Linked DNA regions of Oryctolagus cuniculus. The protein of the gene in region 2 interacts with the protein of the main gene of each other region in a pairwise test. Links are inferred from orthologs where the notes say so. Each region holds a gene or a part of one and is shown on either strand. Other genes may lie near its edges. The genes, in order: HYI and SRSF11.

What was found.
Region 1: the proteins of SRSF11 (region 2) and HYI interact in binary tests that used the Homo sapiens proteins (3 or more experiments, as listed by UniProt). The two-hybrid records come from large-scale screens. The link is inferred for Oryctolagus cuniculus from reciprocal best matches to the Homo sapiens genes SRSF11 and HYI.

What each region holds. Positions count from the first base shown.
Region 1 is NC_091438.1:129,574,241-129,590,695, reverse strand, and holds HYI (putative hydroxypyruvate isomerase), read right to left. Parts: upstream 7,723-16,455; 5' UTR 7,324-7,722; coding exon 7,125-7,323; intron 7,049-7,124; coding exon 6,937-7,048; intron 6,050-6,936; coding exon 5,935-6,049; intron 5,776-5,934; coding exon 5,697-5,775; intron 5,616-5,696; coding exon 5,566-5,615; intron 5,485-5,565; coding exon 5,415-5,484; intron 5,304-5,414; coding exon 5,169-5,303; intron 5,057-5,168; coding exon 4,983-5,056; 3' UTR 4,905-4,982; downstream 1-4,904. Other genes in the region: KICSTOR complex protein SZT2, read left to right, coding at 1,032-1,245, 1,541-1,694, 1,800-1,922, 2,013-2,418, 2,544-2,660, 3,912-3,980, 4,131-4,274. UniProt on the Homo sapiens protein: Catalyzes the reversible isomerization between hydroxypyruvate and 2-hydroxy-3-oxopropanoate (also termed tartronate semialdehyde).
Region 2 is NC_091438.1:102,134,517-102,150,477, forward strand, and holds part of SRSF11 (serine/arginine-rich splicing factor 11), read right to left. Parts: coding exon 15,922-15,961; intron 12,921-15,921; coding exon 12,839-12,920; intron 8,038-12,838; coding exon 7,906-8,037; intron 3,967-7,905; coding exon 3,877-3,966; intron 1-3,876. UniProt on the Homo sapiens protein: May function in pre-mRNA splicing.

The DNA.
Region 1 (16,455 bases), about 27 Mb from region 2:
TTAACACCTAAGCCTGATGCCCCCAGCAGCGGGCCATGCAGTCTGCCACTCCAGCAGCCCTCACCCAGCTGTTAACACACTTTTTTTTTTTTTTAAGATTTATTTATTTATTTGAGAGGCAGAGTTACAGACAGAGAGAGGGAGAGACAGAGAGAAAGGTCTTCCATCTGTTGGTTCACTCCCAAAATGGCCACAATAGATGGAGCTGAGCTGCTCTGAAACCAGGAGGTTCCCCCAGGTCTCCCACGTGGGTGCAGGGGCTGAAGCACTTGGGCCATCCTCCACTGCTTTCCTAGGCACGTCAGCAGGGAGCTGGATTGAAAGTGGAGCAGCTGGGACTCGAACTAGCACCCATATGGGATGCTGGCGCTGCAGGTGGAGGCTTAACCTACTACGTCACAGCGCCGGCCCCTGTTAACACACTTTGAGTAAAGGTGATCTCCATCAGAAGCTCCTGCCCCATGCCCGGCCCAGCGCTGGCAGGCATGTTCAGATGAAGCTTTCAGAACGATGGGAAGATGAGGCTGGCGAGGAGGGAAGGAGCAGGAAGAGCTTTGCAGCAACTGTGCGCCCCCTGCCCTCCAGACCACCGCCTGATCTTCCCCAGCACCATTTTCTGAGGCATCCTCTGTGCAACTGACTCACTTCGTCTGATGCGTCTCATCGCCCACAACTAGACTGTGCTCCTGGAGGGGAGGGGCTTGTTTCTGTTCCCCAAGGGACCCCCGGCATCTACAACAATAGCTGGTAGGGACACGGCAGATACGCAGCAAATACCTGCTGCGTCAGTGGGTCCGTGCCACACTCTAGTGGAACCCGAGACCCAGCCGAAGGCCCAGTCTCAGAACAGTTAGAGCACAGTGGGAAAGATGCAGATGTGAGGAGGGGAGCATCCCCCACCCATTGTGCTGGCACAGAGAACTCTGCTGGGGAGCAGCAAGGGGCATGAGGCTCCCCTGGGAGGAGGGAAGTGTGTGCGGGGCCACCTGTGCCACACACCCTCACATCGTCCCCTGCTGCCACCTCCCCAGCTGTCCATGCTGTTCACAGAGGAGTGCGACAAGGTGAGGGACCTGATGCATGTCCACTCGTTCAGCTACGACTTCCACCTGCGCCTCGTGCACCAGCACGTGCTGGGCGCCCACCTGGTGCTGCGACACGGCTACCACCTCACCACCTTCCTGCGGCACTTCCTGGCCCACCACCCTGATGGACCCCACTTTGGCCGCAATCACATTTACCAAGGTTCGTGCCAAGGGCAGGCCAGAAGAGGAATAGGCCACCAGGTGTCTCCCCCCGCCAGGGGGAGTGGTCCCCTACTGTTAGTCACCTCGTCGCATTCATACCATGTTGCCATGCTCTGTCCTGCGTCTGAGGTTCTTCACTGTCAGTTTCATGTCACAGTTTGGACTTTGTAGTATGTGGACCCTGCCTCTATTCTGAGCCACTTTCATCCCACCTCAGTGTCCCCAGGAAAACAAGGCATTGGCTACTCCCATCCCAGGCTCAGTGTCTGCTGTCTCCTGTAACTTCCCCTCAGGAACACTGGAGCTGCCCACACCACTGATCGCCGCCCACCAGCTATACAACTACGTGGCTGACCACGCCAGCTCTTACCACATGAAGCCACTGCGCATGGCCCGGCCAGGGGGCCCAGAGCATAACGAATATGCCCTGGTGTCGGCATGGCACAGGTGAGGCTGCCGGGGCTGAGGCTGGGCGGTGCTTGCAGTAGGGAGGGAGACGCACGTCTTCTGGGGCAGAACAGGGCTGAGGTTGACATCCCGCCCACCGTGTAGCTCTGGCTCCTACCTGGACTCCGAGGGACTTCGCCACCAGGACGACTTCGACGTGTCTCTGCTCGTCTGTCACTGTGCCGCACCCTTTGAGGAGCAAGGAGAGGCCGAGCGGCATGTCCTGCGGTCAGCAGATCCCCGCCTGCGATACCCCCACTGCCCCACCTGCCCCCAGCTCTTGCCCTGATCACTGCTCTCGCCCCTCTCCCCACCCAGGCTGCAGTTCTTCGTGGTGCTCACCAGCCAACGAGAGCTCTTCCCAAGACTCACTGCTGACATGCGCCGGTTTCGGAAGCCCCCCAGGCTGCCCCCCGAGCCTGAGGCTCCAGGGAGCTCAGCTGGCAGCCCCGGGGAGGCCTCAGGGCTTACTCTAGCCTCTGGAGCAGCCCCTTTGTTCCCACCACTGGCCGCAGAGGTGGGTATGGCACGAGCACGGCTGTCACAGCTGGTCCGGCTGGCTGGAGGCCACTGCCGTCGGGACACCCTCTGGAAGCGCCTCTTTTTGCTGGAGCCTCCGGGGCCTGATCGGCTGCGGCTGGGAGGTCGCCTTGCCCTGGCAGAGCTGGAGGAGCTCCTGGAAGCAGTCCATGCCAAGTCCATTGGTGACATTGACCCCCAGCTGGTAAGACCTGGGGCCTCCACACAGGGCTGGGGTGGGTGCCAGCATTCCACAAGCAGCCAGCATGGAGGGCACAGGAGTCTCCATGGGGACTGCGACAGCATTCAGGCCTGTGCACCCTCTCCCAGGACTGCTTCCTGTCCATGACGGTCTCCTGGTACCAGAGCCTGATCAAGGTTCTCTTAAGCCGCTTCCCTCAGAGCTGTCGCCATTTCCAGAGTCCAGACTTGGGAACTCAGTACCTGGTAAGTCCCCCTGAGCACCTCTGAAAGGGGGAAACAGGAATCCTCAAGTGAGGTGACAGGTGTCCCCTCAAGGAGCCCCAGGCTGACCACAGGGAGGCCTACATGGAACAGGATAAAACCCTCGGAGCACTGAGCATCGAGCTGCAGTAGGTGATTTGTTGGGAATTACCCAAGAACTCTGTCCACAAAGGCTCACCAACAGCCTGAACCCTGGCGTCAGATTCCGGGGCCAAGCTCAGGACTGACAGCCCTCGGAGCACACAGAACCTAGCACCTGGGCTCAGAAGTGGAGGACCGGAAAGCATGTGTTGGGCCTTAAAGCCGATATTCAGAGTGTGTGGTCCACAGACCAGCAGCATCAGCGTCCCTCTCGGGTCCCACTCCACGTACAGACTCAGGATCTGCATCTTGGCAGCATCGCTGGGGATGTGTCCCACGTTCTAGACAGGAGTGACGGTGGTGGACAGGCATGTGGGGAGGTGCACCCAGCGAGCGCTGGGGCCAGGAGAGCAGGTGGAGAAGCCTTCCAATGCGGAAGCAGTCGGGGCCTGCGAGGGGTCCTGCAACATGGGCCCGTTCACTTCCAGATATACAAAGAGCCCTGTAGTGAAGCTGCAGCCAGTCAGGTGAGGCTCAGCAGTGCAGGTGGCAGGGGCAGGTGGGGGTGCTCCTTGGGTGGCGAGAACACTGAGCAGCAGTGGGTCGGGGGCAACGGCGCCAAGTACAGCAGGGTCAGGTTGAGAGCCCACGAGGCTCCTCACCGTCTAGAAGAGATGAAGCTCAGGGGAGAGAACCAGCCGGGAGCGGAGCATGAACTGGTGGGGGGGTGGGGGGGGGTGGCGCTGGGGAAGAGAAGTCGCCACGGGACCGATCACGTAGCTGTGCATTAGGGAGCAGGTGGACGGAGGGGGACTGGCCCACAGGAGGCCAGAGTGCTGAGAGCCAGGAGCAGGCAGGTGACAAGGTTGGGTTGTGCCCAGGGTGGCAAGCCCTCCTTCCTTGGTTGGCTACAGTGTGCCAGGCTTTGCACAGCATCTCTGGCCCGAGTGCTGCTCTCGTCCTGAGGAGATGCAGACAGGCTGGCAAGCCAGGGAGGGTGCAGGTAGAGGTCCACGTTGGCAACATGAGCCTGAGTGACAGGCGTGCAGGTGAGGGCAGGTCTCCACAGGTGCCCCACAGGAGGCTGTGGCCCCTGCCCCTGCCCCTGCCGTGGGGCGGCCTCACCCCAGCCCCCTGTGTGCTTCACTGCAGGTTGTGCTGAACCAGAAGTTCACTGACTGTTTTGTGCTAGTGTTTCTGGACTCGCACCTGGGAAAGACGGTGAGAAGAGGGGGTTCAGCCAGTGGGAGGCCGTACCCTAAGTGCTCCACCTGGGAGCTTGCTGAGGTTGGGGTACCCACTCTTCCCCAGCCCTGCTCCCTGTCCCCACCCACAGCCTCCTCTGACCAGCACACCCGCTGTTTCCCACAGTCTCTGACAGTGGTCTTCCGAGAGCCCTTCCCCGTCCAGTCCCAGGACAGCGAGAGCCCCCCTGCCCAGCTGGTCTCCACCTACCACCACCTGGAGTCCGTCATCAACACAGCCTGTTTCACCCTGTGGACCCGCCTCCTGTGAGGCAGCGCTGAGTCACCACTGGAATCCTACAACTGGGCAATGCCCCCGAGGCAGGACTGACCAGGTCTTCTGGCCCATGGCAGGAGAAGCTGAGTGTCCCTGAAGGCTCAGGGCTGCCTGCCCTAAACGTGCACAGCCGCTGCCCAGCCGCAGACTCCAGAGGGTCAGGCCAGCTGCCTGAGGTGCCCATCACCGCTGGGCCCTTCCAGAAGAGGACTCCTCCTTCCTGCTCCCTGGTGGCGTCCGGGAGTTGGTTCTTCACAGGAGGTGGTGAGCACTCAGCAGAGCTCCCCTTCCTAAATCCTGCTGCCCAGTCTTGACCACTGTGGGCCACCTGCCCACCTTGGGCGTCACTTCTCGACCTGGACATTTAGCCTTCTTGGTTCCAACCCCAGCTCTGCCTTTGAAGCACCCAGGACCACCACCGAGCCCCTCTGCTCTTGGACCCGTGGTTTCTCATCTGTAAAGGACATGGGCTCCAGCACTCTCCCAGCCGCTCAGAGCCCTGGCACCGACTGGAGGAGTCAGTGTGAGCTGTCTCACGTCCCCTCAGTGGACGGGGACACAAGAGAAACGGAAGTGTTAGACACTATGTGTCCTCCCCCCAGACCCATAACAGACACATGAAAATGGTCAGCAGGCGTCTTTAATTCAGACTTGGGATTCTCAGTCCCTGGCCCTGAGAGGCATCTGGGTGGTGTCAGGGCCTCACTGGTCAGCCTGTGGGCGGCCCCGCCTGTCCCAGTAGGAACGGAGCCAACTCAGACCCTCCACGGTGTCTCCTGCGGGAGGGAGTGGGAGTGGCATTTCTACCCAGGGAGAGGGAAACTGGCCCATGCACTGCCTGTCCCGCCAGGGCTCTGAGCATGCCCAGATCCCCTCTCTGCCCCTCACCTTGGGGCCGATACTCGCAGCCCACAAAGCCTTGGTAGCCTTGGTCTTCCAGCAGCTGGAATAGGTAGGGGAAGTTCAGCTCTCCGGGGCTGCTGGGCTCCCCTCGACCTGGGACCTGGGCCACCTGCACATGGCCTGGGGACAGATGTGGGCAGATGTGGGGCCAGGCTCCCACCAAGGCCTGAGGGACAGAAGGGGAAGCTGAAAGGTGGGCACAGGACTTCGCACTGGGAAGCGGACCCTCACCCACAATGGGCAGGAACTCGCGGATGTTTCCCGTCAGGTTCCCGTCCATGATCTGCCAGTGGAACACGTCCTGGAGACCGGAGCACTGGTCAGGCCCTGCTCTTCCGCATCTGGGGACGTGGGCCCTCAGCACTCCCCGTCATCCACTCACCATTTGGAGCTGCAGATTGGGTCTTCCGACTTTCTGCAAGATGGCTGCCGCTGGGGGAGAAGCCGAGCCCGGGGCTATGAGACTCAGAGAGCACAGGGACTAAAAGGGACAGAGCGGGCCAGGGGTCCTACCCTGCTGGGGCGTGTCCAGGAAGTATCGGGGGTCCGTGACGCGGGTGTTGATGGGCTCCAGCAGTCCCACGAGGTTCTCCTGGCACCGTGTCAGATGCCGTGAGCACAGCTGCTCCCCAAGGCTGCCCCTGCCAGCCTCTCGCTGGCCAGCGCCTGCCTTTGCCTCGTGTGCTCTCCCCACTGTACACCCGCTCCAGTACACACGCAGTATGTCTACATGTGTCTCCACTCGTCTCACCTGGGCCAGAACCCCAGCCGCATGCCTCAGGTTCTCCAGAAACACCGTCTCCATCTCCTCCCGGACTGCTGCCCGATCAGCCCCCTGCGGTACTCGGCCAGCCATCAGGTGAACCCTGGGGGCAGATGGGACCAGAAGCCTTCCCTCCCTCGGCTCCCCACACAGCGCTGCCAGGACAGCTCTGGGTATGCTGGCTCACCCATCTCCGTGAGCATGCAGTCCGGCCCAGAGCCCCGAGACACTCCTGTGTCGGCCTGAGGCCCAGGCCTTTCCCAGACATCTTCCCGGCAACCCCTGGAAGTCTATCCTTTCTCACCCCCTCTGCTTTCAACCTCCCATCCCCAGGTCCTCCCAAGCAGGCTTGGGTCTCATCTTTAAAAGCCATCCTGACCTCGCCCTTCTTGGCTGCTTGCCTGCTTCCTCTCCTTCCCCTCATGCCCCAGTAGTGCCCCTGTGTCACCAGGATACCTCTGCTCAGCCTGTGTGACCTCTGTAGGAGGTGACATTGGTGGGCCCAGCCCCTTTACGCCTTCTACCTCTCTCCCCATCGCCACCTGTCTTTTTCAGCCACAGGCATCTGGCAGCAGAAGCTCCAGGCTCTCCCAACCCCAGACCAATCCCCAGCCTCACGGCTTCCCCAGCCTCACTGCTTCCTCTTGCCTCTCTGACCTGCCACTCAGGCCAAGGGCCCTCTTTCCCCGAGCAGCTTTCTCTGGTCCCAGACAAGCTCAGGTGCCTGCCTTGCTCCCACAGCTTCCTGTGGGCCCTGGACATGTTGCTATCTCCCCGGACTGACTGAGCCGCACCCCGGCATAGGATGACACAAAAGTGGTGAACGGGACAGCACACGACAGATAAAATACAGAAGGACCGCGTCTGGAGGGGGTGAGGGCCGGGGCGCTCTGACGTGGGCGCTGTCAAGCCCCACCCCGCCCCTCCAGCTCCCGACCTCGACCCGAGGCAGGGTCAGGTCACCAAGGGGGAGGGGCGGGGGCAGGGTACCTAGGACAGCCCAGGGCCTTGGCGTACAGCACGGCCTGCTCCAGCCCCTCTCGGAAGGCCACCTGTCTTCCGGGAACGGCCCCCAGCCCCATCTCCCCCTTCTCTTGGTCTCCTGCGGAGAGAAAGCGGCTCGGTGCTAGCTCGGGCACCCGCGCGGCCCGCGCGCCCTGCCGGGCCCCGCAGCGCACCCGGGGGCGTGTTGATCAGAACCAGCCGCAGCCCGGCATCCTTGGCCGCGCGCGCCAGCGCCTCGGGGTCCTCTGCGTACGGCCAGGCCACCTCGGCCGCCTCGAAGCCGGAGCGGGCGGCGGCCTGGAGCCGCGCAGGAAGGCCGGGCAGCTCGGGGAACAGCCAGGACAGGTTAGCGGAGAAGCGCAGCGGAGCCATGGTGCGAGCATGGGCCGGCCAGAGTCCGCGCGCCGACCGGAAGGCGGAAGCCGGCGGGCCGCGCACGGAGGTAGCCGAAGCCTGGCGCCGCCAGAAAGGCGCTGGGGTGGGGGCAGGGAGGGGCGCGGCGAGCGAGAGGGGCGGGGCCCGTGGGGAGACAGACAGCCGGGCGCCCCAGGGACCAGTTGCCGTGGCTGAACGTGTATAATGTCCCCATTATAAAAATGAGATCTGTGCCACCAAACAAAGAACTTTTATACCGTCCCTTACCGCACAGCTAACCCGTTAGCTTTCCCATACGGATTAAAAAGTACATGTGCAATTTTTTTCTTAGAAAATTCTGATCATCCTGTATGTGCAGCTTTGTTGCCTTTTTTTTTCTTGTAATGTTATTTTATGACCTTGTTCCCGTGTTCTTTAGTATTCTTTAAAAAAGCCATCACTGTAGGCAGCTCGTAATTATCACAGTAGACGGGCACTCTGTGTGTGTGTGTGTGTGTGTGTGTGTGTACACGTGCGCGCGCGCGCGCGCGCTCTAGAAGAACACGTCCATGCACCTCTTGGTCCCCTTCTTTGTCTTAGTTTCCTCTTCTGGAGATGTCCATCACAGTGTCTGCCTGTCCACAGCCTTTGACATTTATGTGGACACCTGGGCCTGCCGCTGGCCACCTCACTAAGCAACTGTGGGCAGGCCCCCTGAGCCTGAGCACATTGGACCACTGGAGGACATCTGGTCCCAGGGCAGCCAACCCAGAGACTGCCAGGAGAGTCTTGCTTGCCTTGTTTGGAAAGATTGGCCAATCAGATTCCGCTCTCAAGAGTTAACCAGGAGATGCTGAGAGTCCAGTGAAGAGGTGATCTTGCCGGAAGGTGACTGGGGCCTGACTGGGGCCGTGGCAGCTTCAGAAGCAAGAGTCAGATGGTGAAGAAAAGCCAGAGCAGAGAGATGGCAGCCCTGGGAGCAGAGGCACAGCCTGAGAACCCCCGCTGTGCCCGCAGCCACCCCCAGCCTGCACTTCCTGAGGCTGGATGCTTGCATTTTCCTAGGTTTCTGTAGAGCCTTTCTTAAGATAATTTGAATGAATTTGCTTTAATCTACAATAACCCAACTGAGCAGGCAGATTCTTACAGGTAGCATTCCATGGTCAAAAAATGGGGAATCTTTTTCAGCTCTTGATGGCTGTTATAAATTGCTTTGCAAAAATGTAGGCTTATACTCCAACAATCCATGAGTTGAAGTCATCTTGGTTTATTTTCTGTGCTAACTTTGGCAGAGAGAAGGTCAAAGCACACAGTAACAGCACCCAGCACTAGCACCCAATTTATCCTGCCCCTGCCCAACTCCAGCCCAAGTCAAGCCCACTGGAGCATCTAGGGTCCAGGCTGATCCTATAATTAATCCCAACGCTGGCAGGTGCCATTTCTTCAGTTCCACCCCTAAGAACAGACGGCCACCAGCTCGTCTGATCACCTGATTGCCTGCCCACGTGCAGCTGACTTCGTACTTGGAACTTTGGCTTGTCCTGGAACCAGCTTCCTGGGTGTAGTCCAATGAGGATGTGACCTCACCTTGTTACATTTCAATCCATCCCGACTTCAGCATAGTTACAATGCAAAATTGCCAGTGCCGACTAACAGCTAGGAGGAGCAATGCCTTTATTAACCCTCCCCTATACATCTCTTAGTAAGCAGTTTCTATTTAAGCCTTTCAAAGCAGCCCTGTCTGCTACTTTCTGTGTCAGGGACACGTTCAGCCTCCAGGGGTCAAACCCTTTCGTTTGTGCAGTGGAGATGGTGCACAGACGAGGGGCTCACCGCTCACTGCCCCCTCAATCCCTTCACAACACCTTCACACAATACACCAGAATAAATGGACACGTTCAGTATCCGTGGAAAGCATTGGCTTTTGAATGTTGCTGTTGTTCTTCTTTAAAATTTATCTATTTGCATTTTATTGAAGAACAGAGAGACAGAGAAAGAGCAGGATCTTCCATCTGCTGGTTCACTCCCCAAATGGGGCCAGACCAGGCCAAAACCAGCAGCCTGGAATGCCATCTGGATCCCCGCCGTGGGTAGCAGAGGCCCAAGGACGTGGGCCATCTTCCACTGCTTTCCCAGGCACATTAGCGGGGAGCTGGATCAGAAGTGGAGCTGGGACTCAAACCAGCGCCCATATGGGATGCTGGTGTTGCAAGCAGGGTCTCCACCGGATGCACCACAACCATGACCCCTGCCTTTAACTCTCAACTGAAGAATTTGCTCAAACATAATGTTAAGGTGACAACAATGTATAGCTGAAGACTTGAGTATAGAGTTCAGAGTCTCACCTGGCCACTGAATACACTCACCCATGTGAGGTGCAAATCAAAACCTCACTGAGACTGCATTTTATATCTTCAAGATTGGCAAAAATAAAAAAGGCAGGCACTATCAAATATCGGATAGGATTTGGAACAACTGAGATGTTTATTCACTCACTGCTGGTGGGAGTGTGAACCACCACAGCCAGTTTGGAAAACACTTTGGCATCATCTCTGAAAGCCCACGTACCTGCATCCACTAGTTCCTCTCCCAGGAATGTTCCTGCAGGAAACTTGGCCACAAATGTGCCAGGAGACAGATTCAGTGATGTTCATAGCAGCAATGTTTTTTAAAGATTTATTTATTTATTTGAAAGGCAGAGTTGGGGCCGGCGCTGTGGCACAGCAGGTTAACACCCTGGCCTGAAGCACCAGCATCCCATATGGGCACCAGTTCGAGACCTAGCTGCTCCACTTCTGCTTCAGCTCTCTGCTATTGCCTGGGAAAGCAGTAGAAGATAGCCCAAGGCTTTGGGCCCCTGCACCCACGTGGGAGACCCAGAAGAAGCTCCTGGCTCCTGGCTTCGGATTGGCACAGCTCCAGCTGTTGCAACCAATTGAGGAGTGAACCATCAGATGGAAGACCTCTCTCTCTCTTCCTCTCCTCTCACTTTGTAACTCTGACTTTCAAATAAATAAATTAATCTTTAAAAAAAAAAAAGGCAGAGTTACACAGAGAGAGAAGGGGAGGGAGAGAGAGAGAGAGAGAGAGAGCGAGCGCTTCCATCCACTGGTTCACTCCTCAGTTGGTCACAACAGCTGTAGCTGCGCTGATCTGAGGCCAGAAGCTTCTTCTGGGTCTCCCACGCGGGTGCAGGGGCCCAAGGACTTGGGCCATCTTCTACAGCTTTTCCAGGCCATAGCAGAGAGCTGGATCGGAAGTGGAACATCTGGGACTCGAACCGATGCCCATATAGGAAGCCTGCACTGGAGGCAGCAGCTTTACCCGCTACGCCACAGTGCCAGCCCCAGCTGGCAGCAACCCAGATGTCCAACAGTAGACACATGGGTGAGTTGTAGTCATACAGTGTTGTAGCTGGAGGTGACCAGGAAGACTGGTGGCACAAATGATAAGGCGGCATCTGCTCTTGTCTCAGCGCAGTGGGTGAGGAGTTTAGTCAGGTTTGGCTCAAATTGAAAACATCATGGTGAAGACATCAGATGGATAAACTTCAGATGAAGATGGATAAACCTCAGATATCCCGATGGATAAACCTCAGAAACACAGTCGTGAGAGAAGGCAGTAAATCGCACAGAAATGCACGTGATTGCATCTGTGGAAGGCCAAGGGCAAGGAAACCTTTGGCGCTGCAAAGGTCTGTGGTAGCACAACGTGGCACGATGGTGACCCCTGCAGGGTGCGGGAAGGGCAAGTCAGCACCTCCCAAAGTCATTGTCATCCCTTCTCCCAGTCATGCAGCCTAATTTTACCACTCTCTTTTATGGCTTGCATGTATTTTATAAATACCACTTTACGTATTTGTCCCATAGTCAATAAAAACAAACTTTTTAAGCCTTCTGTGTGCATTTCCACCACCTGCTAGCACGTTTTATATTAACATTCTCAAGTGCTATCATCGTAGTCGCAAGGTTTTTCCTGCAGACTCAGCTTGTTTGTGTCGTCTGTATAGTTTGGGCTATAATTATTGCTTTTCCAAATTATTGTCCAAGAAGAAGCCGAAAGGCAGCAGCAGGCAGAGAGAGCTTCCATCAGCAGGCTCACTTCCCTGATGCCTGCCATGGCTAAGGCTGGGCCAGGCTGAAGCCGGTAGCAGGGAGCTCAATCCATGCCTCCCGTGTAGGTGACAAGGACCCATCAGCTGCCGCCTCCCGGGTGTGCATAAGCAGGACGTCAGAACTGGGAGCAGAACCAGGAACCTGAACCCAGCCATCCAGGATGGGGCACAGGCAACCCAACTGGAGGCTTAAACATTGCACCAAGTCCTCACCCCGATAATTGCAGATGTTTAGGCTCAACGCGCCCCAGCGCAGTACGGAGGTCTTTTCTTGTGTTACCTTCTCAGAACTTACTACAGATAGCCTAGAAAACGGTCCCAGCGAGCTCTGCTCCCTGGTGTATCTGCCCCTGGACACTGCCCTCCCCTTGAGTGCGAGCTGGCCGCGTGCCTCACTTCTGGCAGACAGAACATGGCAGAGTGATAGCGTTGGGGCCAGCGTTATGGCGCAGTGAGTTACACCACCGCCGCCGATGCTGGCCTCCCATATGAGCTCTGCTTCCTGATGCTCCACTTCCGCTCCAGCGCCCTGCTCATGCACCTGGGAAAGCAGCAGCAGACGGCCCAAGGGTTCAGGCTCCTGCCGTCCACATGGGAGACCCAGATGGAGTTCCAGGCTCCTGGCTTCAGCCTGGCGCAGCCCTGGCTGTTGTGGCCATTTGGGGGGAATGAACCAGCAGATGGAAGATGCCTCTCTCTGTGTCTCTCCCTTTCACTCGGTAACTCTGCTTTCCAAATAAATAAAATAAATCTTTAAAAAAAGAATGATAAAACTGTTACCGAGCCCAGGTTCGTTCTTTATTTATTTATTTATTTATTTTTATTTTATTTATTTTTTTTTCGAGCCCAGGTTCTTTGACTCACTTGCAAATAACTGACAAGAGGCCAACCTGCAGCCAGACACAGTTTATTGGGGCTTATGCTCCCATGCAAGGGACACAACACAGCCACCTACCCATCCCCATCAAGAGCTGAACAGGGGGGCCTGTACTGTGGCTTACTAGGTTAAGCATCTGCCTGCAGCTCCGGCATCCCATATGGGTGCTGGTTTGAGTCCCGGCTGCTCTGCTTCCAATCCAGCTCCCTGCTGATGGCCTGGGAAAGCAGTAGAAGATGGCCCAAGTGCTTGGGGCCCTGCTCCCACATGGGAGAATCTCCTGGCTTCTGGCTTCTGATAGGCCCAGTTCCTGCTGTTCAGCTATTTGAGGAGTGAATCAGCAGATGGAAGACCTCCCTCTGTGTCTTTTCCTCTGTTTGTAACTATGCCTCTAAAGTAAACAAATAAATCTTTAAAAAAAAAAAAGGAAAATGACTTTAAAAAAAAAAAAAGAGCTGAACAGGTACTTTTATGGAATTGGGGGAGCTTGGCAGTTCCCCCTTGGCATAGGGCACTTTGCTGCAACCAACCATGCTTTTGTTTTTATTTTGTTCTTGCACACAGCACACTCAAAACGGTGGTGTTGCCCACTACTGCCACCCCTGGAAGGTCACCCACCACCACACTGGGTCACTCTGGGCATGCATGCAGGTCAGAAAGTCCCTAACAGAGCAGTTAGGGGGTCTTCTGCACTTAGGGTCTGGAGGCGCCTTGCTCCCGACTGGTTTGGAGCTGGAGACGGATACAGAATTAGATTGGGAGGGGCTGGGCTTGGTCGTGTTCCTCTCCCACCTCACAATGTCACTTCAGAGTTTAAGGTACGAGAAGGCGGTGGCCTCTGTCTCCAGTGCCCTCTCTCAGTCATTCATTCAGCTTCTCCAAGGAAATCCAGCTGCCTCGTGTGAGCACGCCTATGGAAGGACCATTGTGTCAAGCAACGGTGTCCTGGCTGTCACATGTTGAAGCCTCACATCCCTGTAATGGTATTTGGAGGTAGAGCTTGGGGGGTGGTTAGCTTTAGACGGGGTCCAGCAGGTGGCACCCCAAGAGGGGACCCGTGTCCTGGTAAGAAGAGGAAGGGAGACCACAGCTCACTTTCTTCCTCCTGCTCTCTGCCGTGTGAGGACACGGGGAGAAGCAACCATCTACCGGGCAGGAACCGAAACAACAGGCACCTTGACCTTGGATTTCCCAGACACAAACTCCCAATGTTTAAGCCACTCGGCTGATGCAGAACGCAGCCCAGGCTGACTAGGACATGGCCAGCTGCTGGCAAGGGCCCACAACCTCACCAGCAGCCACATGCATGAGCTGAGAGACGCATCTTCCCCGAGGTGAGTCTTTTTTTTTTTTTTTTTTTTTTTTTTACAGCAGAGTGGACAGTGAGAGAGAGAGAGAGAGAGACAGAGAGAAAGGTCTTCCTTTACCGTTGGTTCACCCTCCAATGGCTGCTGCGGCCAGCGCGCTGTGGCCGGTGCACCGCGCTGATCCGATGGCAGGAGCCAGGTGCTTCTCCTGGTCTCCCATGCTGGTGCAGGGCCCAAGCACTTGGGCCATCCTCCACTGCACTCCTGGGCCACAGCAGAGAACTGGCCTGGAAGAGGGGCAACCAGGACAGAATCCAGCGCCCCGACCGGGACTAGAACCCAGTGTGCCGGCGCCGCAAGGCAGAGAATTAACCTATTGCGCCACGGCGTGGGCCTGAGGTGAGTCTTAAAACGATTGCACCCCGGCCAACACTCTGGTCGCAGCCTCGTGGGAGATCCTGAGTGACGCACACCCAGCTAAACTACCTCTGGCTCCCCAACCCACAGGAACTCTTTGTAGTCAGGCTGTGTGGTCTGAAGTGTGACGTTCGGGTTGTTGGCAGCAATGCATGACGAATAGACGAGCTCCTTGTACTTCTGGGAGCAGCTCCTGTGTTTGGGGGAACTGGGGGGCCCTGCTGCTTTCACTGCTGTCTCCACTTCAGGTGCGAATGGTGCTGCCACCTGCTGTGTCTGTCTTCGGAGCTTTGCTGCTGGATTAATGGGCCGACCATAGCACCTGTCGTAGGCAATGGCTGTCCCACACCTGTGCCCTCTTTTCTCCTTCCAGTGAGCCGGACAGCGAGTGGCTAAGGCCCACAGAGAAGTGGCAAAGGGAACCCAGGGGAGGCTTTGTGTTCAGTACGTGGGGCCTCTGCAGGGGAGTCAACCCAGCCAGCGTTCTTGCTGCGTCTTAATCCTTTCCAAAATCAAAAGCTCTCAGATCCAGCCTGCTCTTCCCATGCCAAGACCCAGCCTGGGGCACATTGCAGGAAATACTTGGTTCTTTTGGAAAAAAGCAGCAGGAGGACCTGAACCCTGGGATGCTGGGGATCCCCGTTTCCCTCGTGGCACGCATTCAAACAGTTTCCGAAAATTCCTAGTGGGAGGCTGAGTGCCCTCACAGCCACTTAGAGTCCAAGAGGGATCTTTGTCTTTCAAAGTCATGAGTTTAGGCTAATGTTTTTTATTTCACCCAACCTGCATTAAACTCTTGCTCTATAGTCATATAAGAGCATCAGCATTTCTTTTTTACAATTTATTTGTTTATTTGAAAGAGAGACAGAGAAAGAATCTTCCATCCACCGGTTCACTCCCCAAATGACTGCAACAGCCTCAGCTGGGCCACGCAGAAGCCAGGAGCCAGGAGCTCCATCCGGGTCTCCCAGATGGGTGGCAGAGGCCCTGGTGCTTGGGCCTTCCTCCACTGCCTTCTCAGGTGCATTAGCAGGGAGCTGGATTGGAAGCAGAGCAGCCAGACCTCAAACCAGCACTCTGATAAGGGGTGCAGGCATCGCAAGCAAACCTGCTGCACCCCAGTGCTGGCCCCAGGCATCTTCTTCTCCATTTAATTTCTGATTGAACCACCAGGCTCTCCATAACATTTTTACATTTTGCTCAAATCAGATCCCACACATCGTGCCATATATTTTCACACAGCCATGTGTTCCGCAGCAGCGGCCTGGATTTCAGAATATCAACATTCAAGTGCCACCCCATTATTGTTATTTCTTGAGCCATTGAGCCTGCATTTCTAAGGCTTCAGAATTTAACTTTGCTACTTGACTCAATTTTACCAGTAATAGCCCATATCACAGGGATTCGTGACAGCTTGTAACAGTGTCAAAAAGGAAACTAAATCTTGAGAAATTTTTTCTCTTATAGGTTGCTATTGTACCCAAGCATTCCTACAGGAATTTCCACAGTACATCTACACTGGGACTCTAAGTAAGATGTCAGCACATTTAAACAGAACCGTCTCTCACACAGTACATTGAATAATAACATCATTATACAAAACAGCATTGAATCATTTTACAAAATTGGTGCTTGCATGAGCAATCACCTCTGTTCTTGGAAGAATATTACAATATTTGCTGATCCTTGCTATACACCATTATCTTTAAAAGGAGGTTCCTAGAGCTGGCCCTTTCTCTTTGTTCTGTTGTTGAGTGGTTGGATCACATCCAGAACCCAACCCATGCCCTCCCTCACGTAGACACGCTGTTAGAACATGTAGAGGATCCTGGCAGTGCTAACTACAAGAAACTAATCAGACACCGGCCACTTGCAAGCTTTATTTATTTGAAAGACAGAGAGAGTGAGAGAGAAGTGGAGAGAGAGAGAGAGAGAGAGAAGAGGGGGGAGAGAGAGAGGGGAGGAGAGGAGAGGAGAGGAGAGGAGAGGAGAGGAGAGGAGAGGAGAGGAGAGGGGAGGGGAGGAGAGGAGAGGAGACAGAGCTCTCCCGTCTGCTGGCTTGCTCCCTAAATGCCCACAACAGCAGGGACTGGACTAGGTCAAAGTGAGGGGGCAGCCCACCTGGGTCCCCTGTGGGTGGCAAGGACCCGGTTACTTGCACTGTCACCTCTCGCCTCCCAGGATGAGCATCAGCAGGATGCTGGATGGGAGGATGGGCTGGACTTGAGCCCAGGCCCCCAGTACGGCTACAAGCCCCCAGCATTTCAGTTGCTCGGTCAAATGCGCATCGTCACATGTAAACTACACTGTGTTCCATACAGCCAGTGTGTGCCTGTTTCAAGCACAGAACTTGTTACGTTTTTAAGTTTATAATTTTGAAAAATCCCAGTAACCCTGACAACAGAATTCCATCCTCTCTATGTTTAGTTTTTACA
Region 2 (15,961 bases):
TAGAAAGTAGTCAGACAGCCTTAGTCTAACAAATGACAGAAATCAGAATTTGCATTGTCAGGGGCCAGCGCTGTAGCATAGCGGATAAAGCTGCTGCCTGCAATGCTGGCATCCCCTATGGGTGCTGGTTTGAGTCCTGGCTGCTCCATTTCCAATTCAGCTCTCTGCTATGGCCTGGGAGAGCAGTGGAAGATGGCTCAAGTCCTGGGGCCCCTGCAGCTCCAGGCTTTGGATTGGCACAGCTCCAGCCATTGAGGTCAACTGCGGAGTGGACCAGTGGATGGAAGATTTCTCTCTCTCTCTGCCTCTCCTTTTCTGTGTAACTCTGACTTTCCAATAAATATTTTAAAAAAAGAATTTGCATTGTCTTCCAATTTATCAATGTAATTTAATGTAACAGTTCACTATCCTTTAATCATTAAAACTTAACTGGGTAAGATTAAAAAAAACTGACCTCTGTTGAACTCCATGTTATTTCAAATACACTCTACACATTGATATAAGGTAAAAACAAAGATGAACTTTAGGTTTTTCTTCATAAACTGACCTAGAAAAACTTCCAATAGAGACAGAGTCAAAGTATTTTCAACACTGAAATATTTAAGGTCTGGAAAACAGTTCACATTCACAGACTGATAATCTAATGAGCAAAGCTTAAAAAAAAAAGGGGGGTGGGGAGGAATCTCAAAGAATGAATATATCCCCATTAACATAACACACAACCTACCAAGATTAAATCAAGACACAGAAACTGTAAGCGGACATGTAACAGATAAGGAGGTTGAAAAAGTAGTTAAAACTCTTCCATCAAAGAAAAATTCAGGACCTGATGGCTTTAAAGTTGAATTCTACAAAACTCCAATACCCTTCAAACCACAAAATATTGAAAATGATGGAACTCTGTTAATGAGGCCAGCATTACTCTGATATCAAATCCAAAGGTAAAATAAAATGACATAGCTGCTGAATACAGATGAAAAAATTCTTAACAAAATATTAGCAAACAAAATACAACACCACAGCAAAAAGATCATACATTATAGTCACACAGGATTTCTCAGAGACACAGTCATGTAACATTTCCAAATCATTAAATGCCCTAAATCATGTTAACACAAAAAACAAAAACCATTTGATCACCTGAACAGATGCAAAGAAACTATCTGATAAGATCGAACATCTCTTCATGATAAACAATCCTCAAAAAATTAGGTACAGAAGGAATTTACTTCAAAACGATAAAGGCAATCAATAAATGACAAACCAACAGCCAGTATCATACTGAATAGGAAAAGCTGAAAGCATTTTCCCCCTGAAATCTGGAACAAGATAAGGATATCCACTTTCACCAGCCTTATTCAATGTAGTATTGGGAATACTAACATCAAGAATTAGGCAAGGGAAAGAAATAAAGGGCATCAAAATTAGAAAAGAGACAATCAAAATATCCATTTTTCTTTTAAACATGGGATAACTTAAAAGACTCCACCAAAAAGCTGCTAGAAGAGATAAACTAATTCATTTAAGTCACAGGATACAAAATAAACATAAAAAACAGTAGCATTTTTACACACCATTTGCTAAAAAGAGAAGTCAAAAAAGAAATCACATTCACAATAACTAAAAAAAATTTAAACATAAAGAATAAACTTAACCAAAGAAGTAAAATCTCTACAATTAAAATTACAAAACATTGATAAAAGAAATCAACAAGGACACAGAGAAAATGGAAAGATATTCTCTACTCATGGATTGAAAGAATTTCATTAAAATGTACATCTTACTAAAAATTCCAGGCAATTCCTATAAAAATACCATTGATATTCTTTATAGAACTATAAAATAACAATGCCAAAATTGATATGGAACCATGAAAGACTCAGAATAGCAAGAGCAATCCTACTTACACACACACAAAAATCAAGCTGAAGGCATCAAATTATCTGATTTCTAAGGACACTATAAAATTGCAATAACACAAAGAGATCAATGGAATACACCGCTCTAAAGCTAACACATGTAAATAGAACCAAATGCTTTTTGACAAGAGTGCCAAGAACATACAATGGAAAAAAAGGCAGTTTTTTCAATAAATGTTGGCAACACTGGAAATACATATGTTGAAGAATCAAACTGGAACCCTACCTCTCAACACATACATAACTCAAGATGGTCAAAAACCTAATTATAAGACCTGAAACTACAAAAATATTAGAAGAAAACATAGGGGAAAGAGTTCAAGACACTGGTGTAACTAATGATTTCTTGAGTAAGATACCAAAAGTGCAGGCAACAAAGCAAACCTAGATAAATAGGATTATATTAAATTCAGAAGCTTCTAAACATGGAAAAAATCAATAGTGAACAGGTATCCGGGAGAACATATTTTTGTGCTACTTATCTGACAAAAGGTTAATGTCCAGAATATACCAGGAACTCACAAACTGTACAACAAAACCACCAATCCAGCCAAGAAATGAGAAAAGGACCTGAACAGTTGCCGAAAGAAATATAAATAGCCAACAAATAGAAGAAATAGGCTCAATATCACTTGTCATCAGGGAAATGCAAATCTAAATCATGATGAGGTACCATCTCACCCCTGCTGGTGAGGATGTGGAGAAAGAAGAATTCTTAAAAAAATTTTATTATTTATTTGAAAATCAGAAAGATAGAGACAGATATCTTGCATCAGCTAGTTCACTCCCCAGATGGCCACAATGGCCAGGGCAGTGCTACACCAAAGCAGGAGCTTCATAAGGGTTTCCCATGTGGGTGATAGGGGCTCAAACACTGAGGACATTTTCTGCTACTTTTTCCCAGGCCTTTAGCCTGGAGCAGGATCAGAAGTGGAGCAGCTGGGACATGAGGCAATGACCATGTGGGATGCTGGCATTGCAGGTGGCAGCTTTACCCATTAAATCACGATGCCAGCCTGAAACAGGAACTCTCATTCACTGTTAGTGGGAATGTAAATTGGTTCAGTCATCTATTAACGGTATTTCTTTAGGGGCCGGTGCCATGGTATAGCAGGTTAAGCTGCCGCCTGCATCCCATATGGGCACCAGATCAATTCCTGGATGCTCCACTTCCAATCCTGCTCCCTGCTGATGGCCAGGGAAAGCAGTGAATATGGCCCAAGTGTTTGGGCCCTTGCACCCACATTGGAGACCCAGATTAAGCTCCTGGCTCCAGGCTTCGATCTGGCCCAGCTTCAGCTGATGTGGCCATTTGGGGAGTCAACCAGCAGATGGAAAATCTCTAACTCTGCTTTTCAGATAAAATAAATAACCTTAAAACTCTCATATGATCTAGCATTACAGGGTATATATCCAAAAGATATAAATCAGTGCATCAAAGAAATGCCTAATTCATCATTCATTCATCACAAGTCAATTTATGGAATTAACCAAGGTGTCTGTCATCACATGAATGGATAAAAAAAAGTAGTACATATAATGGAATATAATTTAGCCATAAAAATAGTGAAATTGTGATTTTTTTGTAAGTAGATGGATGAACAGGAGGGCATCATGTGAGTAAAATTAGCCAGACATAAAAGACATACATATTCTCCCTTATACTTAAAAGTTAAAACTGAGTAACAAAAAACTCAATTCAACCTGAACAGAGAATGTTGGCTAGGAAGGTTAAGAAGGATAGATGCAGTTTAGATAAAAACAAAACAGGGGAAGCTGTATGTGTGGGCTCATTAATTATGACAAACATGCTAATATGGAAAGTAAATAATAAGGGAAGTTTGGTTAGGGATATTTCAGAACCATTTACATTATTACTTCACAATTTTTATAAATTTAAAATTATTCTGAAATAAAACATTTTTCAAAAAGTGAAGAATGCATAATTCTGTCTTACCTGCTTGCACTTCTAGAACGTCTGGCTGTACTGTAACTTTTTGGTGGTGTTTTGGAACGTTTTTTTTCTTTGTCTTCTTTCTTTTTGTCTCTAATAAATCAACAAGCACAATTCAAGAAGGCATTACAAAGTTCTGTTAACTGCAATTTAAATAGTGCTACAAATCAAAACAAAAGCAAAATTATGTCTAATAACACCTGTAAAAGCATGATTTACAATTCTGATAGAAAGTATTTTTAGAGATACTAGTTCATGTGGCAAAGGTGGGGTTCAAAAAGTTATGAAAAAATTGAATTAAAGTTTTAGTTATTTTGGTGTAAAACTGTGAATCCATGCAGACAGATCTTCTAAGAGTTCATGGAAAATGTGCATTATGAAACAACTATGGAATTCAGCTTTTTGTTTATTTTAGAGGCAGAGAGAGAGAGAGAGAGAGCGAGCGAGCTTTAATCTGCTGGCTCACTTAACAAATGCTTGCATGTATTCAGGGCTGGGCCTGGAGCCAGAAAGTGAATCCAGAGTTACCTGAGCCATCACAGCTACCTCCCAGGGTATGCATTATCAGGAAATTGTAATCAGGAATGGAGCCAGGATATAAATCCAAGCACTCCAACACAGGGTATGTTTATCACAAGAAATGTATTCACTGCTAGGGCATCCATCCTTTAATTTTTTGCACCAAACAATCCTGTATTTCCTTTTGGCACCGGTTCAACCCGGCTGCTTCGCTTCTGATCCAGCTCTCTGCTGTGGCCTGGGAAAGCAGTAGAAGATGACCCAAGTCCTTGGGCCCCTGCACACACGTGGGAGACATGGAGGAGGCTCCTGGCTCCATATCGACACAGCTCTGGCCACTGTGGCAAACTGAGGAGTGAACCAGTGAATGGAAGACCTCTCCCTCTCTTTGCCTCTCCTCTTTCTGTGTAACTCTTTCAAAGAAATAAATAAATATTTTTTTTTAATTGACAGGCAGGCAGAGTGGACAGTGAGAGAGAGAGACAGAGAGAAAGGTCTTCCTTTTTCTGTTGGTTCACCCCGCAATGGCCGCTGTGGCCGGTGCACCGCACTGATCTGAAGATAGGAGCCAGGTGCTTCTCCTGGTCTCCCATGTGGGTGCAGGGCCCAAGGACTTGGGCCATCCTCCACTGCACTCCCAGGCCACAGCAGAGAGCTGGCCTGGAAGAGGGGCAACCGGGACACAACCTGGCGCCCTGACCGGGACTAGAACCCGGTGTGCTGGTGCCACAGGTGGAGGATTAGCCTATTAAGTCGCAGTGCCTGCCTATAAATAAATCTTAAAAAAATAAAATAAATAAAATTCCGTTTTCCTGGTGTTTTACTCAAGACATCTTTCCAATGTACAAATATACTGTATGTCTTGAGAAAGAAACTAGGATTTTGCCTAATTTCTTTGTGTTTTGATGCTAAACATCAACAGTTTTAATAATTGTCTTGAGGCTCTTTAACAGTCTCTTATTTTCTCAGATGACTTTACCATTTTCTCTAACCACCTCCACTATCAGTCCAAAACCCATAATGTATTACCAAAATCACTCACATCATCAATATTCTTGTAAAACATACAGCCCAAGTTAACTTCTGTCACAGATGAAGCCATTCTATCTTTGTGTTAGTTTTTTAAAGATCAATTTATTGGGGGCTGGCGCTGTGGCACAGTGGGTTAACGCCCTCGCCTAAAGTGGCGGCATCCCTCATGGGTGCCAATTCGAGTCCTGACTGCTCCTCTTTTGATGCAGCTCTCTGCTGTGGCCTGGGATAGCAGCAGAAGATGGCCCAAGTCCTTGGGCCCCTGCACGCACGTGGGAGACCCGGAGGAAGTTCCTGGCTCCTGGCTTCAGATCGGCACAGCTCTGGTGGTTGCGCCCATCTGGGGAGTGAACCTGCGGATGGAAGACACCTCTCTGTTTCTACCTCTCTCTGTAACTGTCTTTCAAATAAATAAAAATAAATCTTAAAAAACAAAACAAAACAAAACAAAACAGACCCTTGGCCGCTGTCCTAGCCCAATAGGCTAATCCTCCGCCTGCGGCGCCGGCACGCCAGGTTATAGTCCCGGTGGGAGCGCCAGATTCTGTCCCAGTTGCCCCTCTTTCAGGCCAGCTCTCTGCTGTGGCCAGGGAGGGCAGTGGAGGATGGCCCAAGTCCTTGGGCCCTGCACCTGCATGGCAGACCAGGAGAAGCTCCTGGCTCCTGGCTTCGGAGCAGCGCGGTGCGCAGGCGGCTGCGCGCCGCTGGAGCGTCCACTGGGGGGTGACCCATTGGGAAAAAAAAAAAAAAAGAACTGCTCAAAAGAAATAAACAGGTATTTCATAAAACAAGAAACATAATCACCCCCCAAAAAAGATAAATTTATTTATTTGAAAGGCAAAATGAGAAAGAAAAATCTCTTCCATCATCTAGTTCACTCCCCAAATGCCTTCAACAGATAGGGCTGAAACAGGTTGAGGCCAGAGCTGGGAATTTCATACAGGTTTCCCACGTGGATCACAGGAACCCAAATACTTGGCCATAATCTGCTGCCTTCCCAGTGCACTGGCACGATGCTGGAGTGGAAGCAGAGTATCTGGGACTCAAATTGGCACATGATATTACAGGATGTGGGTATTAAAAGAGGTGGCTTAACCTGCTAAAGCACAATGCCTGCCCCACTTCCACCTTGTTTTGATGCTATATACTCTTGGACTATTCAGTGCTACTGTAATGAACTAGTATTAAAATTATCCTCAACTCAATTCTTTTTGGATTCCTTTACACTTGTTTTTATTGAAACAACATTTTTTCGCCCAAGGCCATGGGCCATCTTCCACCGCTATCCCAGGCCATAGCAGAGAGTTGGATCAGAAGAGCAGCAGCAGGAACTAGAACCGGCACCCATATGGGACGCCAGTGCTTCAGGCCAGGGCTTTAACCTGCTGTGCCATAGCGCCGGCTCCCTATTCCATAATTTTAGAGATCAAAGTATTCCTTCTGTTACTTCACGCCATTCTTCCCACCCTATGTTCTCTGTTTCATTGCTTCCTCTACTGGCCATCCTGTTCAATGATCATTTCTGTTTTTCCAAGTACTTATCGCCTAATTTCAAGATACTCTGTTTATTCCCATTCCAGTTTCCTCCAGGATCACGTGCAAACACAGTCTGAAAACAACCCTTTCTATGATCTGTCTCCTTACACTGAATTTATTTACTGGTTCTCCTATATAGAAATATTCACCATTTCAAAAACTCATGCTAACATTGCAAACACCATTCTCTACCTGAAACTATGCACCCCACAGAATCTTTTTAAATGGATGCAAACTGAATACTCAGGAGTCACTTCTCAATTAAGCCCCTTCCAACAACATTAGCCAAGTGGCAACCATCACCTAACAGTGGTTCCTTTTTAATTTTATCACACTCTCCAAATAAACAATAAACAGAATATTCTTAAGGGAAAGAATGTTGAATTCTTTTTTTATGATAATCATTTCTTTAAGCAACTTCGTTTTGATTAGCCTAATGAGATTGACTAATATACAACGAAAAGCCTATTATAGGCTGAACATTCAGTAGTCATACTAATTAAAAACAACTGACTTTGTATAAAAGACTGGTTACTGGAAGTATGTTTTAAGTAAAAATCAAACATTAATGTGGGGGACCTGCTTTAATGAATCCTCATTTTAACCTTCTACTGGTCCCAAATTATGGGATAAGAGATATTCTAGTATGGTTCAGTTTCTGGCAAACAAAGATACTTAATAAATGCTTTGAACTCATTGATTACTGGGATATACAAGGACAAATATATTACATATGGTCATATAGAGTTTTTCTTCTGAGTATAATACAAGAAATGCATGGCAGCAATAAATCCTTTGCAGTAGTTGAATGGAATGGAAGAAATTCTTGTCTAGTTTTAACTTCCCAAAATTCCTTGCCTCTTTTGTAATTTAAGTAGCACAGTATTTGGGTTCTTGGCAATTCTAAAAGTTCTCTTCTTATCCAATGTCAAGAGTCTGTTATACCTGGTTTTTGATGTGCTCCTTGACCTTCTACCTCTCTCTCTGGAATGAGATCTTCTCCGTCTTGGACTTTTGGATCGTCGTCTACTCCTTGACTTAGAATGTGATCGCCTCCTTGATCTGCTTCTTGATCGCCTAAATGTGTAAAAGGAAGCCAACAGATATATTAAGTTATAAACATTTCACTTAGTCCCAGACATATGAATTAACTGCCAATTAAGTGGGAATATTCCCTTCCATATAAAAAACATGTTGGTGCTGGCATCCTATATGAACACTGGTTCGTGACCTGTATACTCTGCTTCCAATCCAGCTCCCTGCTGATGGCCTGGGAGAGCAGTGGACAATGGCTCAAGTGCTTGGATCCCTGCATACACATGGGAGACGCAGAAGAACCTTCTGGCTCTGGACTGGTTCAGCTCCAGCTGTTGCAGCCATTTAGGGATAGAAGCAGATGGAAGACCTGTCTCTCCCTCTGTCTGTAAATCTGCTTCTCAAATAAATAAATCTTAAACAACAACAACAACAACAACAAAAAACCTTGCAATCTCAATACTTTTTTTTTTAGAGATTTATTTATTTCAAAGTCAGAGTTAGAAACAGAGAGAGATTTTCCATCTGATGGTTCACTCTCCAGATGGTTGCAACAGCCAGGGCTGCACCAGGCCAAAACCAGGAGCCTGACCTGCTTCTGGGTCTCCTACGTGGATGGCAGGGGCCCAAGTACTTGGGTCATCCTCTGCTGCTTTTCCATTATCAGGAAGCTGGATGAGAAGTGCAGCAGCCAGGACACGATGTCTATGTGGGATGCTGGACTAGAAGGTGGTGGCTTTACCTGCTACACCACAATGCTAGCAGCAACAATACCTTTAAATACTTAGAATTTCTCCTCTTTTTTACTGTATTGGTCAACTTGTCAGACCAGTCCTCTCATACCCAATGAACCAAGAACTCCAAAGTTAAAACTACTACTATATGACACACACACACACACACACAAAAGAAAGATATTGCACCATTTTCTATAACCGTACAATACTGAAAAACATCTTTTATTTATTATTACTGCAAGTTAAACCTTATTATTATTATTTTTTTTTGACAGGCAGAGTGGATAGTGAGAGATACAGAGAGAAAGGTCTTCCTTTGCCGTTGGTTCATCCTCCAATGGCCGCCGTGGCTGGCGCGCTGCAGCCGGCGCACCACGCTGATCCGAAGCTAGGAGCCAGGTGCTTCTCCTGGTCTCCCATGCGGGTGCAGGGCCCAAGCACTTGGGCCATCCTCCACTACCCTCCTGGGCCACAGCAGAGAGCTGGCCTGGAAGAGGGGCAACCGGGACAGATTCCGGTGCCCTGACCGGGACTAGAACCCGGTGTGCCGGCGCCGGCTCAAGTTAAACCTTATTTATCAAGTATCAAATGCTTACGCTTACTATGTGCTTGACAAATAGGCAATCATGAAGTCTAAAAAAAGTAAGTCCCATTATTATTCCTGTTTTATAGATGCAAACTACTTAGTATGTTATCATTTACTATTTCTAACTGTTGTTCTTTGAAATTCCACTTTTTATATCCATAGTCTAAAAAACTCTAATCATGTACAAATTGCCTCATTTACTCTCATTTTCTCATCAACATTACAGTCTCTATACCATCCTCTTTTCCATTACATCAAAGAAAGGAAATGTTTTTTTTAATCATCCTCATCCCCGGGGAACCATCCAATAAACACTTCTTGGTTTTCCAAGAACTTCAGTAGCACATTTAACCTATAGATGCTGTCACTGTTCTTCCCTACCCCCCACCTCCACCCCCTTTTAAAAGGTTTTATTTATTTGAAAGTCAAGAGTTACAGAGAGATTTTCCATCTACTGGTTCACTCCCCAAATGGCCTAAGAGCTGGGGCTGGGCAAGGCAAAAGTCACGAGCCAGAAACTTCTCTCTGGTCTCCTATGAAGGTACAGGGGCCAAAGCACTTGAAGGGAGCTAAATCAGAACTGGAGCAACTGAGATTCCAACCGGCACCCATATGTGGTGCCAGTGCCACAACACCGGCCCTCCTCCTTCAAGTCTTTGTTATTCTCAATCTTTTGCTTAGTCTTGATATCTTAATTTTTAGTGACCATTCAAGTCCTTTCTGTGGAATATTTCAAATATACCTAAACTTTCTACATGTTTTCATTTTCAGGGTACTAGAGTCGAGAAGTTCTAGAAATGGAATTGTGTTCAACTTTTATTTATAAACCAAGTTACTTGGAGTATTATCTAATCTCTCTGATCCTGTTACTTCATTTATCTCTATTACATAAAAATAGCACCTTTCACTTGTACAGAGTACAACTCAGTGCCTTCATGCAGAAATGTATGACATTCAACACTCTCTTCCTCTTACTAATGCAGTAAAAGGCTTCAATTGCTGTAACTCTCTAAAACAACTGGCTCAAAGCCCATTGTACTGAACTAAATAAACTTTTTTTATCATCTCTTATTTTAGGGTATATTTGGAACTACTTATGACAAATTGTTAAGAAGAACCAAGATAGTAAAAGAAGTTATGAGAAAGCAGACAACTGATAGAAATATGTTTCAGATGAGATCAGCTAGGAGATGAAGAATACCCAAAAAAAAAAAAAAAAAAAGTTTAAGAGTCAAATGGTGGGGGCTGCTGGCCTGCAGTGCCGGCATCCCTTCTGGGCGCTGGTTCGAGTCCCAACTACTCTCCTCTTCCAATCCAGCTCTCTGCTATGGCCTGGGAAAGCAGAAGATGGCCCAAGTCCTTGGGCCCCTGTACCCGTGTGGAAGACCCAGAAGAAGCTCCTGGATCCTGGCTTCAGATCAGCATAGCTCTGGCGTTGTGGCCATCTAGGGAGTGAATCAGCAGATGGAAGACCTCTCTCTCCTCCTCTCCCTCCATCCCTCTCCCTCTAATTCTGCCTTTCAAATAAATAAATCTTAAAAAGAAAAGTCAAATGGTGGAAATATGGAAAATGAATCTAAAACTAGTTGAAGTAACTGAGGTCAGCTGGAGTATTCTAGTTCTGAATGCCACTCTACAACTATAATGCAATTACAAGCAACCTGGATTGAGTTTAGAAATCAAGTAAAACAAGAAACCACTGCAACAGTTGGTGATGAATAACAGAGTAACGGTTATCAAATTGTGGCTAAGGAACTCTGACTACTCCAAGATTTTATGGGGTCTGTAAAGTCAAAATTATTTTAAAAATAGTGTATTATATGCTTTTGTCAGTGTGTTGACATCATTTTCACTAGTGATGCAAAAGAATGGTAGTTAAAAATGATGGCATCACCTCATCACAAATTAAGACTGTGGCAACAAAACTGTGCTAGTAGTCATCTGTGTTTCTGAATGCATTTGAGCTAGGAAAAAATCACTTTCACTAAAGGAGTGTTATGTATAAGATTTTGTCTATTTATTTAAAAGTCACAGTTGACAGAGAGAGAGAGAACTTCCATCTGCTTGTTTACTTCCCAGATGTCCACAATGGCCAGGGCTGGGCCAGGTGCTTCATGGAGGTCTTCCACATGGGTGGCAGGGCCCAAATACCATTTTTTTTTTCTCTAAGGTTTACTTATTTATTTGAGCGGCAAGGAAGAGACAGAAAGAGGTCTTCCACCTGCTGGTTCACTCCCCAAATGGCTTCAATGGCTGGAGGTGGGCCTATCCAAAGCCAGGAGCCAGGAGCTTTTTCTGGGTCTCCCATGTGGGTACAGGGGCCTAAACACTGGGCCATCTTCCACTGCTTTCCCAGGCGCATTAGCAGGGAGCTGGACTGGAAGTGGAGCAGCTGGGACACAAACTGGTGCTCATATGGGATGCTGGCATTCCTGCTATGCCACATCACCAGACCCTAAAGGTGGCTTTGATGAGGCAGTTAATTTCATTAAATCTAGTTCTTTGCATACTATTAAAGTAGTAGCAACATTAATGTTAGCCTTTTGAGTAACATCTCCAATAAAATGGAAATTATAGATCACTTTAGATGGCTCTATCAAGAAAGATATTTGTGTGATTAAGTTGTGAGTTGAATTAGTTGCTTTTTCATGAATACCACTTTCAAGAAACAACAAACTGGTTACTTAAACTTGGCTACTTAGCAGACATTTTCCTGAAAAATGAATGAGGTAAATTATATCAAGGAAAACAACCAAATTTGCTGCCAGTAATAAAAACTTGTGCTTTTATGACAAATTTATATTTAAAGTTTCCCAACACTTCAGTTTTTCTGAGATATGCAGTGCTATTATCAAGTACCATATTTTTTGCTACTGAGGAACAGATAAATGTAAGTATTTGGCAACTTTTATAATGCAATGAATCTCTTGTTTTCCAAATGACCAATGCTTGCTTTCAGAAATCCTGCCTGGGGAAAAAATACATTAAAATTTTTGCTTCAAAGCCCTATTATTTCAAATGAGTTCTAATTTCTATATGATCAACACGGACCGATGTGACTCACTGCTTGACACAGTTCTCATATATCTTTTTACAACTCTAAAGAGCCTGTTGGCCAGAGAACCTTATTCACAAAGGGATGCCAATCTACTTCTACTCCAGATAAGTAAAAGAATGATACTGTAAGCTTGTCTGGTAATACTAAGTATAATCTTAAGAATTATTTGCAAATATTCTAAATTTGAACAAATCTCAATTTAACAGACTTAGATTGTCTAGAATTCAAGTCAAAATTCTTTTCATAGCACCAACTCATCATACCACCTATTTTTTTGGATTTAATTTATTTATTTAGTCTGCATCTTTTCCCCTTTTATGCCAACATAAATTCACACTGTTAACATCAACTGTTACTGAAGCATACTTTAACCAGGAAGTAGTGGCTTTACAGCAATTAAAGAAGGTGCATACAGAAATTATCTTTGTCTAAATTACAAGTGATTGTAAGAAACAATCTAACCTGTGCCTAGAAGATGAAGGAGTCCTCCTCCTCCTGGAACGTGATCTTGATCTTGAATGCCTTCTTTTTTCTTCTTTCTTATCTACATTTGAAAGAAAAGGAATCTGCACTTAAAAATCATCAAATAGGAACATTATTCCCTTCAGGAGTTATTCTAACAATTTCTTTACTATTTTAATTTATTTTCTAGATATGTCCTTGTATCTTAAAGTGATCACTTATAATCACAATGTTGAAGTCTACTGAAGTTATTAGGTTCTTTTGAGTTATCTCACTTTCCAGGTGTAGAAGCCTATGAAGTGTTTCTCGTAAAACAAGCTATGAAAAGGGTGTTGTTCTTATTCTTTTGCTTTTTTTTTTTTTTTTTTTGACAGGCAGAGTGGACAGTGAGAGAGACAGAGAGAGACAGGTCTTCCTTTTGCCGCTGGTTCACCCTCCAATGGCCGCCGCTGCAGCCGGCGCACCGCGCTGATCCTGGCAGGAGCCAGGATCCAGGTGCTTTTCCTGGTCTCCCATGGGGTGCAGGGCCCAAGCACCTGGGCCATCCTCCACTGCACTCCCTGGCCATAGCAGAGAGCTGGCCTGGAAGAGGGGCAACCGGGACAGAATCCGGCGCCCCAACCGGGACTAGAACCCGGTGTGCCGGCGCCGCAAGGTGGAGGATTAGCCTATTGAGCCACGGCGCCGGCTCTTGCTTTTTTATTTACTTGTTAGATTTTTAAATGAGTCTCCTTTCCTTTCTTAGATTCTTCACAAATATAGTTATAATTCAGCCAAGTTAAAGCTTAATTTTCATGTATTTATAAAAAAAAATCTTACTAACCAGGACTTAAATATATTTAATAAAAACAATTATTGTAAATAAATAAAAATATTAGGCCGGCGCCGCGGCTCACTAGGCTAATCCTCCGCCTAGCGGCGCCGGCACACCGGGTTCTAGTCCCGGTCGGGGTGCTGGATTCTGTCCCGGTTGCCCCTCTTGCAGGCCAGCTCTCTGCTGTGGCCAGGGAGTGCAGTGGAGGATGGCCCAGGTGCTTGGGCCCTGCACCCCATGGGAGACCAGGAAAAGCACCTGGCTCCTGCCATCGGATCAGCGCGGTGCGCTGGCCGCGGTGCGCTGGCCGCAGTGCGCCGGCCGCGGCAGCCATTGGAGGGTGAACCAACGGCAAAAAGGAAGACCTTTCTCTCTGTCTCTCTCTCTCACTGTCCACTCTGCCTGTCAAAAAAAAAAAAAAAAAAAAAAAATAACATACGGCAGTTCACACTCTAGTAACATGTTCCTTACCATTTATGCACCACAGGTTTGGCGTGTAGAGAACTTTCTCCACCAAATAACTTTATATTCCTTTGTTAACAAGCATGGTATGTATATTTAGGTCAAAGTGGATAACAGATTTCCTATTTGGCCCCCAAATCCAGAAAATCACAAATGATTTACTTTAATTTCACTGTACTACTGAATTAGATCTCAGCAACCCAGCTCTCTTCCTGAAACCTATTTAATCACTTGCCATCAATGTTCCATTGTGTACATGCAGGAAAAACTGATCTACAGTTGTTTTATTACCTAGATTTTAAATAACAAAAAAGTTCCTTTAACTTAGCACCTTAAGAAAATACAAAGCCATTTCATTTTTCATATATGAGCTACCATTCATGATCAATAAATATATAGTCTCAGGAAAAAACCTCAAACAAGCCCATAAATTTTCAATGAAAATAGAAGCAGTTAAGAGTATGGTGTGTAAGCTAGCTTTGGAATTGCACAGAATCAACTGTGTCTCATAAGCTTCCAACTTGGGCCTGTGGTGTGGTGTGTAAAGCCACTATGTACAATGCTGGAATCCTATACAGGCACTGGTTCAAGACCTGGTTGCTCCACTTCTAATCCAGCTCCCTGTTACAGCCTAGGAAAGCAGTAGAAGATGGTCCAACTATTTGGGCCACTGCCACCCATGTGGGAAACCTGAAAGAAGCTCCTGGTTTCAGCCTGTACCAGTGCTGGCCAGAGTGAATCAACAGATGAAGATCTCTATCTCTTCCTCTCTATGTAACTCTTCCTAAACAAAGAAAGCTTTAAAATAAATAAATAAATAAAGCTCCTATTTTCCATTTGACTACGGCCAATTATCTGACATTTTACTAATTAAATTATATAATACATGTAAAGTATTTGGTAACAGTTTATACAGTATTAGTCTTTAAAAATAAAATCATTTTCCTAATACTAAGAACATACCCATGATACTTTGAAGTAAACAGTAAAACCTGAATCAATGTGGAAGAACAAATCTAGGATCATGGACAAAAATACACAGCTGGACAATGGGAATACCATTTACTTTCAACTCAAAAAGGCAACCTGCAAAGAATGTTTAGTTTTCTTTAAATAAATGAGACTGGCATTTTTACCAGGTTCTTTCAATCAAAGTCTTAAAAACTAGCCTATCTCAACCGAGACATTTGACTAAAAACACCCAAATCTTACACCAAATATTACATAACACTGACATTTTGTACTATTTCAATCACTGCTGTGGTGGTTGCCCTGGACAACCAGCAACATTTCAGGTCCTCTCCTAAGATGTAGTTATTACTAGTGTAATAATCAGAAGTATCTCCAATTATTTACACATGTCTAGGTGGTATGTCACTAAATAATCCTTTTAAATATTTATTTGTTTCAAAGGCAGAGAGGCAGAGAGAGACAGAGTGCTTCTCTATCCAATGGTTCATTCTCCAAATGGCTGCAAAAGAGAGGAACAAGGAACATCATCAGGGTATTTCACATGGGTGGCAGGGACCTAGTTATTTGGGTCTTCTTCTGTTGCCTTCTCAGGCACATCAGCAGGAAGCTGGATGGGAACACAGCAGCCAGGACTAAAGCGGCACTCTGATAAGGGATGTTGGCATCATAAGCAGAAGCATAACCTGCTGTAACACAACAATGTCTCACACATAATCTTTTCAGAATTTGGGAAATTAGGAAAAAAACCATATTTAACATATTTCCAGATTTATATACTTACTTTGGACAATAATATAGAATTTAATGTTTCACAAAACTCTACAAACATATTCACCTGGTTCTATAGCAGCAGAAATCAGGGACTGTGCTTCTCG